Linked DNA regions of Rattus norvegicus. The protein of the gene in region 1 interacts with the protein of each later gene in a pairwise test. Links are inferred from orthologs where the notes say so. Each region holds a gene or a part of one and is shown in the gene's direction. Other genes may lie near its edges.

Region 1 (4,579 bases):
GAACGTGCAAAGATTCCATGAGGGAAGATAATTTATATAGACACTTAAGACTGTCTGTGAAATACTGTATTTGATAATATTTAAACATGATGCATTTCTACTAACACACTGTACTAGTACATGTATTAGTATTCTCCTAATACACCATGAGACAGCTGTACGTGGCCACACAAACCAGAAAACCAGGTTTCACCATTTCCAACCCTCCCTCCCAAACATTCTTGAGCTGACATTCCTAAGGACAAAGGTGCTGTTATTTTTCCTCAGTGGTGAGTTCCAGGCTAGACACCATTAGCTGCTTGGGGCAGTTTTCAGTGACTTAATTAGTTAAAAGCCAACTCTTGAAGAATGCATCTCGTGGAAGCATTTTCTGTTCCAGAAGCCGGTTCTGGGTCTTGTATTGCTCTAGTCTCTGGCGTCTTTTTTCACTAGTTCTTGATTGACTCAGGGCTTCACATTCTCATGGTGGCCTATGGCCACCTGTTAGGTGTTAGGCTGTTAGGCTGGGTTCCCCATGGTTTCCTATGTATTGGCTATCACTGTTCAAGTGTCTTGGAGCGTAATGGGTCTTCCCCTCTCATCCGTGAGAATGGAGGTCCCAGCCCTTTCTGTTGGGCAGAACTACTGCATGGGCTCAACCGCTCCCAAGAATCCTCACAGAAGTTAAGAGTAGTCTTAGATCTTAGCTGTTATGATAGGCTGGAGGGCCGTGTGTGTGTGTGTGTGTGTGTGTGTGTGTGTGTGTGTGTGTGTGTGTGTGGGTGGTGGTGGTGGTGGTGGTGGTGATGAGGTGAGTTCATGGGTGCTGAGTTAACCCAGAATGTGCAATTTTTTCTTCAGTGCCTATTTTGGGCTACAATGACTGGGAAACCTGATATTCCTCAGGCCACTCACAGCACAGCTACTGTCCCACGCGGGTCTTTCAGTGGCAGCCTCCCACTCACTCTGATAGTGCTGCACCCTTCGCCCCGCCCCGCCCCGCCCTCCGCAGCCTCCCAGGGTGGCAGCCAGCATTCCTGGACAGAACTAGGCTCAGCAGGACCTTTCCTGCAGCAGTTATGGGGTAAAGCGAGGCTTCATCCGGGCCCACGCGAAGTTTCCCAACCGCGGGGCAGGTGGGTCCTGCACGAGCACAAGCTGGTGGGTGCATGGTGTGTGTGGGTCGGGGGGGAGGGGGTCTCCCTACCCTTCATCCAACTCCGCCGCACTGCACCCTCCTGAAACGCACCCCCACCCCTTAGCCCGCGTGTCCCTTTAATGCGTGTCCCTTTACTGCGCGCGCTCGTCAAGGTCCTCGCGTCCCTCCCTTCGCGCCGCCGTCGAGCCTCGATTTCCCTCCTCCATTTCCCTTCGCCCTAACCCGCCTTTACCGGGCCCAGGACTCAGCTGTCACTTTACTTTTGCGCGCGCACCTTACTGGTCCCCCCCGCGCGCGGGCACGCGCCGGCGGGGGCGGGGCCAAAGCGCGTCGCGGGCTCGCGGGCGCGGCACCGCGAGGCCGACGTGGGGCTCGCGCTGTCGCGGGCTCTCGGGGCAGGCAGGGCGAGTGCGCGCTTGGGAGGGGGCGCGCGCGGACGGCGGGCGGCGGCGGCAGCGGCGGCTCGCGGAGGCGGCGGCTTCACTCCCGGACTCGGCGTCCGAGCCGCGGCTGGAGCGCGGGCGGCGCCGCGAGGTGAGTAGGCGCGGGCGGGCGGGCGTGGCCGCGGCCGGAGCCCCGGCGTAGGGCGCGCGGGGACCCCACGCGGCGAGGGGCAGACCGGCGAGATCCCCGCCCCCGCCGCGGCCTCGGCTCGGGCGCGCGCCCGCGGCCCCGCAGGCCTCCCTGGCCCTGCGCGTGCCCGCTGGGGCCCGCGCGCCCCTCCCCCCTCCCGCAGAGTGTGGCCCTCCTTCGCCTTCGAGGACCTGTCCTCTCCCCTCCCGCGCCCACCGCAGCCAGGAACTAAGTCTCCGCAAAGTCCAGGATGGATGTCGCGGTGCAAAGTGCCCGGCTGTCCCGAGCTCTTCCCTAATTGCATAATTGCTACACGAGGTGTCCAAGCGGGCGAGGGCCCGCCCGGGAATACCGGCTGAGTGTGTGCGTGATGCCCCGGGGTGGGGGGCGTCACACTGGTCTTTTGTAATGCCTGGTGCTTGGCACAGTTTGGCTCCGAAGCCGGTTTTCCTCTGGCTTCTCTGCAGCCCCCACTGGCCTGATTGGAAACTGGATTCCCTCTGTCCCCCCACCCCCACCCACCCCCTTCTTTGCTCCTAATGTTTTGATCCATTTGCCTTTTTCCAATTCTAATGAACATAAAGCCTGGCTTCTTGCGTCTTTTCCCACGACTAACCAGAAATGCCCCATCCATCTTCCCTAAAGGAAATTAAGGCCGCATTAGAGAGACATCATCACCCTGGGCTTGGTGGCAGCTCTTGGACCCATTTGCTGGTTTGCAAGACTCTTATCGTCCAACCCTGCATTGTGTCATTTTGAGGGTCTACTCGAGTATTTCCATTTTAAAGTACAAAAGAATTTGCTAGGACTTGCCTCTGATTGCCTTACTGTTCAGAAAGATTTTTAAGAGCTCGTCTTAGTTTTAAATCCTTGCATTTTGAAAAACACGCTCTAGAGATGCGATAACCAAGTCCGAGTCTTGGGAATCTAAATATTTGTCTTTACTCAGGCAGTCAGGATGCTCCTGGGCGCTTTGCAGTTTCGTTTGTGTGCGATGAAGATGGAGTGTTTTCATATGCCGTACCTTGAGCTCTTTCCCCTAGGGCACAGCACTTCCCCCAGTCAGGTGCTCCACTTTTATTTTTCGAATAAATATCTTTTCAGTCACTTGGAAAGCTGGGTAGCGCTACATGATCGGCACATAACATACAACATTTCACGTTTTGGAAAAGTTCAGAAATCCCAAGTAGAGAAACCGGGACGTCAACGACAAGTTCACATTTTCCTGTCGGAGCAGCACAAATGAATTCTTGCTTTCCTGAGCTTTTGAAAATCTTGATATTTGGTGATTTGGATAGTAATGTGGACTGCAGTACTGTTGCTTTCCTCGCTGGGATTTGCAGCCAGATCCTTTAGTTTTTCTGAAACAGGCTACTTTCACTCTCTATGTGCTGGCAGGGAATTTCCAGAACCCCATGACATCACAGAGCGTATAGTCAACAAAGCTTAGAAAATGAGTGTTTCAATTCTTAAATGTAATGCATTTATGTTTAGTTAGGGACTACGGTTTGCTCTGAATCTGAAGTAAAAATACCACTTGAGGTGCCTTAAGTTCTTTGAAACTGTCGTTGGAGGATGCATTTGTGTTTAGTGAGATCCCTGGAACCTAGCTTCCTTCTAGATTAGGGAATTAGCTCTTTAGGAATTAATTTTAAAATGCTAGTAAAGATAATATGTGGAAGTTTTAATGCAGGAGCCTACTCATTTATACTTTAGAGAGACGAGACACCAATTTGACACAGAGTTAATTTGAATTATCTATAGAGGGTCTCCTCTCATATGAATTAATTGTCCCAGAGTACACGATCACGTTGTCCCCTTTTTTTCTGTAATCCAGCAGAGAGTCTCTTAACTTTTGACATTTGAAAATGGGATACAGAGCCTTTGTTTCTGAATGGTTTTTGTAGTGCTTATCAGTGGCCTCAGGAGGATCTGTCATTAGTAGGTAAAACTTTGGGTCAGATAAGGTATCTTAGATGAAAAGTAGAAACGACTTTTTTAAGCTGTAAAACTATAGAAGCGATGCTTCTGTTTAGCCATTTCAGAAGATTCTGGGGAAGTGTTCTGTATGGAACCCAGGCCTTAACATACATGCTTGGCAGGCGCTCTGGAACTGAGCCCCATCCCCCAGACCTTCAGTAGTAGTTTTAGTCCTTTACTCTTCTGGTCTTCTGCTGTAGTCATGGATGTTTCAGTTTCAGGTTGTAGCCCACTACATCACAGAGTGGCCTATTCAGTAACTGTAGAGTTTACACATTATCAGGTGTGCACATAAAGAGTATCGAAACGAGTGCGCACTTCACGACTGACTCAGCACACAGCAGTCATAGCCGTGGCCGCAGTGTAAGGGAGCCACTTTCCTGCAGTTCTGGTGTCTGCCGTGTGATGGATTGCCTCAGGTTTCAGATACATAGAACAGTTTCTCACTGATTTCACATCTCTTAAGAGTGCCCACGGTGTCCTGCCCCTGAGAGCATCTAATCCTAAGAATGCTTCTTTCTGTTTCCCTATACACCTGCTTATCCAGCAAGCTATAGGGTACCTACTTACAAGGCTTTTAACTTTAGGTATATTTTAGCTCAAAGAAGCAAGCTGAGAAAGAGTACAAATATTAAACCCAAGTAATGAGAAGGTTAAAGTCAAATAAGAAACCCTAAGAAATATGCTCAGACTTTTTGAGCTAGACGGGAAACATAACTGACATAAAATTTCAGTGTTCTATTAAGTGACTTTATTGCTCATAAAAGGTGTCTTAGCCATGGAGAATGATGCCCTCCATTTACAGGAGAGGTGGGAGCACAGGCCGGATGTCTTGTGAGTGTTTGACAGCTATTCAAACAGCCTTACTGTTTGTTATGAACAAAGGGA
Region 2 (3,551 bases), on another chromosome or scaffold:
TATTTCTTATCACCTGGTTTTTCGGAGGGGACAAATGTCATATCAAGAACTCACTAGATACCAAAGGACCTCGTGCATAACTGTAATCAGGTGGTGATTGTAATTATGCTCATCATCACTCCACTGGTAAATGGATTGGCCTGAAACTTTGTATACTTTCTGTCTGTGTTTCCTAAGTGTTAAGGCCTTTTTTACGGTATTCATTACAGAGAAAAGAAAGTTAACTGTAACTTGAAGTAGCTGCCTTTTGGATTGGCTTATTTATGTAAAGATTACTGTTTAGTAGTTAGTGCCTATTGCCTTGTGCTAGGCCTTGTGGGAGTAGCTAGTTGAGAAGTGGTAAGGTAGGTGCCTATTGAGGACTCTGAACTACCTCAGGGACTCAGCATGTAGGAGCATTCATCTTCCTCTGTTTCTCCCTAATTTCTAACCATCTTTTAAGGCCTAATTCTTTTCCAACCCTTTCTTGAGCTATTTACCTGCTCAAATTCCTAGTAATATCTCTTCTTTGATCTTACTTTGTTACTGGTTTCTCATCCATAACAGCAGTTTTTAATTCTGTATGAGCAGAAATCACTTGCCATTATCTTTGGATCTTAGTATGTAACACAGTTGCACATAGGCGGTGCTAAAGTATTTTCTGACTCTTTGGCTTAGAAATGCTTTAGGTATGCCTTATACAAAATTTTTTTCTTAAACACAGAAATTCAAAGCAGACTATAGTAAGCTTGCTTATTCTGGCACACTTGCCAGAAGTTTTGGCTTCTCTTTGGTTATTGGAGATTATCTGGTCTCAAAGAAGAGGGTCTTAAAAGGGTACCTTTCAGGCCCTAAAGAAAATTGTTAGCATGTAAGTTGTTCAACAGCCTCACTGTTCATTCAGTTTACTCTCTTACAGGTACTGCAGAAGGAGAGGCTGGGTACGTTCCACTCTCATCATGTCTGTCCCACAAACAAGCACATCTAAAGGGAAAGTCATGCTTAAAGAGTACAGTGGGCGCAAGATTGAAGTAGAACACATTTTTAAATGGATAACTGCCCATGCAGCTTCTCGGATCAAAACTATATATAATGTTGAGCATTTGAAAGAAGAATGGAATAAAAGTGATCAGTACTGGGTAAAAATATACCTGTTTGCAAACCTTGACCAACCACCAGCTTTCTTCTCTGCATTAAGTATAAAATTTACTGGAAGAGTTGAGTTTATTTTTGTTAATGTGGAAAATTGGAACAACAAGAGTTATATGACAGATATTGGTATTTATAACATGCCGTCATACATACTTAGAACTCCTGAAGGAATTTACAGATATGGAAATCACACAGGTGAATTTATATCCCTTCAGGCCATGGATTCATTTTTACGCTCATTACAACCTGAAGTAAATGATCTGTTTGTTTTGAGTTTGGTTCTAGTTAATCTTATGGCTTGGATGGACTTATTTATTACACAAGGAGCAACCATCAAGCGATTTGTGGTTCTCATAAGCACTTTAGGGACATACAATTCCCTATTAATTATTTCTTGGCTACCTGTGTTGGGCTTTCTACAGCTCCCTTACTTAGATAGCTTTTATGAATATAGTTTAAGATTGCTGCGATACTCTAATACAACCACACTGGCTTCGTGGGTAAGGGCAGACTGGATGTTTTACTCTTCACACCCAGCCCTGTTTCTCAGTACATACCTTGGACATGGTTTGCTAATTGATTACTTTGAGAAGAAGAGACGGCGCAGCAACAATGATGAAGTTAATGCGAATAATTTAGAGTGGTTATCAAGTCTGTGGGACTGGTACACCAGCTACCTCTTCCACCCGATTGCTTCTTTTCAGAACTTTCCTGTAGACTCTGATTGGGATGAAGACCCTGACTTATTCTTGGAGCGGTTAGCTTTCCCTGACCTTTGGCTTCACCCTCTGATACCAACTGATTATATTAAAAACTTACCAATGTGGCGGTTTAAATGTCTTGGGGCTCAGTCTGAAGAAGAAATGTCGGAGAGTTCTCAAGACACTGAAAATGACTCAGATAGTGACAACACGGACACTTTTAGTAGTAGTAAGGATGTATTTGAAGATAAACAAAATGTTCACAGTTCTCCAGGAAGAACAAGTCGCTGCGATACTGAGGCTTGTTCATGTGCCAATAAATGTTGTCAGACCAGCCCATGTGAAAGGAAGAGGAGGTCATATGGCTCACATAATACTAAGGAAGATATGGAGCCGGACTGGCTAACTTGGCCTGCTGGTACGCTGCACTGTACTGAATGTGTTGTTTGCCTTGAGAATTTTGAGAATGGATGTTTGCTGATGGGGTTGCCTTGTGGTCATGTGTTTCACCAGAATTGCATTGTTATGTGGTTGGCTGGGGGCCGACACTGTTGCCCTGTTTGCCGTTGGCCTTCATATAAGAAAAAGCAGCCATATGCACAGCAACAGCCGTTGTCAAATGATGCTCCATCTTGACCATGTGCAGTTGTCCAATAAGCTTTGAGTATCTTACAGCTTGCCTTTTTAATGTTAGTCACAATGTTTTTGTGGTTTGAAGTTTAGTTTAATGTTAGTGCAGTGACAGGAAATACACATTATGCTGATGTTGATGACAGAATTTATTTGGATGCCTTGTGTGTCAATTGAATGCATACTAAACTGTAAAAAAATTATTTACAGCATTGAAAATTCAGAAGTTAATGGGTTTTTTGTAAGCACAAAAGAGGTATGGTAGAAATTTATCTTAGCAAGACTTTATGAGGCAGGATCAAATCCTAGTGGGCCTGAGCTGATTTCTTACCCTAAATGTTTTTTCCCTTTTTACAATCTCTGTCCAGCACCTCTTGGTTAAATAATGTATGCTCTGAGACATGAAATTAAAACAGATCTATAAAATAAATTATTTTAAAAGCAGAAGGTTGTAGGTTTTCTGATCTTAAGCTGTGATAAGGTAACTGGTTTTTGTAGGTGTTTTGCTGGATTGCTAGTTTCACGGGTCATTGCACCATGATGTTGAGGTGGAGGGAAGGATAGGAATCCTAGTGCTGACACTGGCTCTGAGTAGTGGTAGTTGACCTCGCAGCCTGATAGCTTGGATAGGAAAGGATTTTATAGGGGCTTTGAAAAATTAGTATTTAGCATATTCATCTAAGTAAAAGCAACTATAATTTATTGTCATACAAGGACTACCTTGTATGTTTAACTGACTTTTTTATTTTGAAAATTTTCAGTGCTACAGGAAAGCTGAGAATATAGCTAGTAGAGTAAATATCTATTTCTCTTTCGTGCACCATATTTGTATTTTATTACATTTACTTTAGCACCTTTTTATTACAATTTTAATATTTCTTCTTTTTCCCTCTCAGTCTATTGAAAGTAAACTTGAAACATGATGCTTTACCCATAAACAGTCACTACACCACATTTTCTATGAATGAGAGCTTTCTCTTACATAGTCAACACCTAATCATACCCTTGAAATTTAATATTGATTCAGTAATACCTAATACATGCTCCTTGTTTCCTAAATGTCTTTATATCTTTGTCTGTCTGTGTTTC

Evidence for each region.
Region 2: the proteins of Ube2e2 (region 1) and Rnf103 interact in a two-hybrid assay, tested with the Homo sapiens proteins (2 studies listed by BioGRID). The link is inferred for Rattus norvegicus from reciprocal best matches to the Homo sapiens genes UBE2E2 and RNF103.

Annotation. Positions count from the first base shown.
Region 1 is NC_086033.1:9,410,058-9,414,636, forward strand, and holds the start of Ube2e2 (ubiquitin-conjugating enzyme E2 E2), read left to right. Parts: upstream 1-1,562; 5' UTR 1,563-1,672; intron 1,673-4,579.
Region 2 is NC_086022.1:105,097,931-105,101,481, forward strand, and holds the end of Rnf103 (E3 ubiquitin-protein ligase RNF103), read left to right. Parts: intron 1-883; coding exon of another isoform or gene 884-898; coding exon 899-2,468; 3' UTR 2,469-2,906; downstream 2,907-3,551. UniProt on the Homo sapiens protein: Acts as an E2-dependent E3 ubiquitin-protein ligase, probably involved in the ER-associated protein degradation pathway.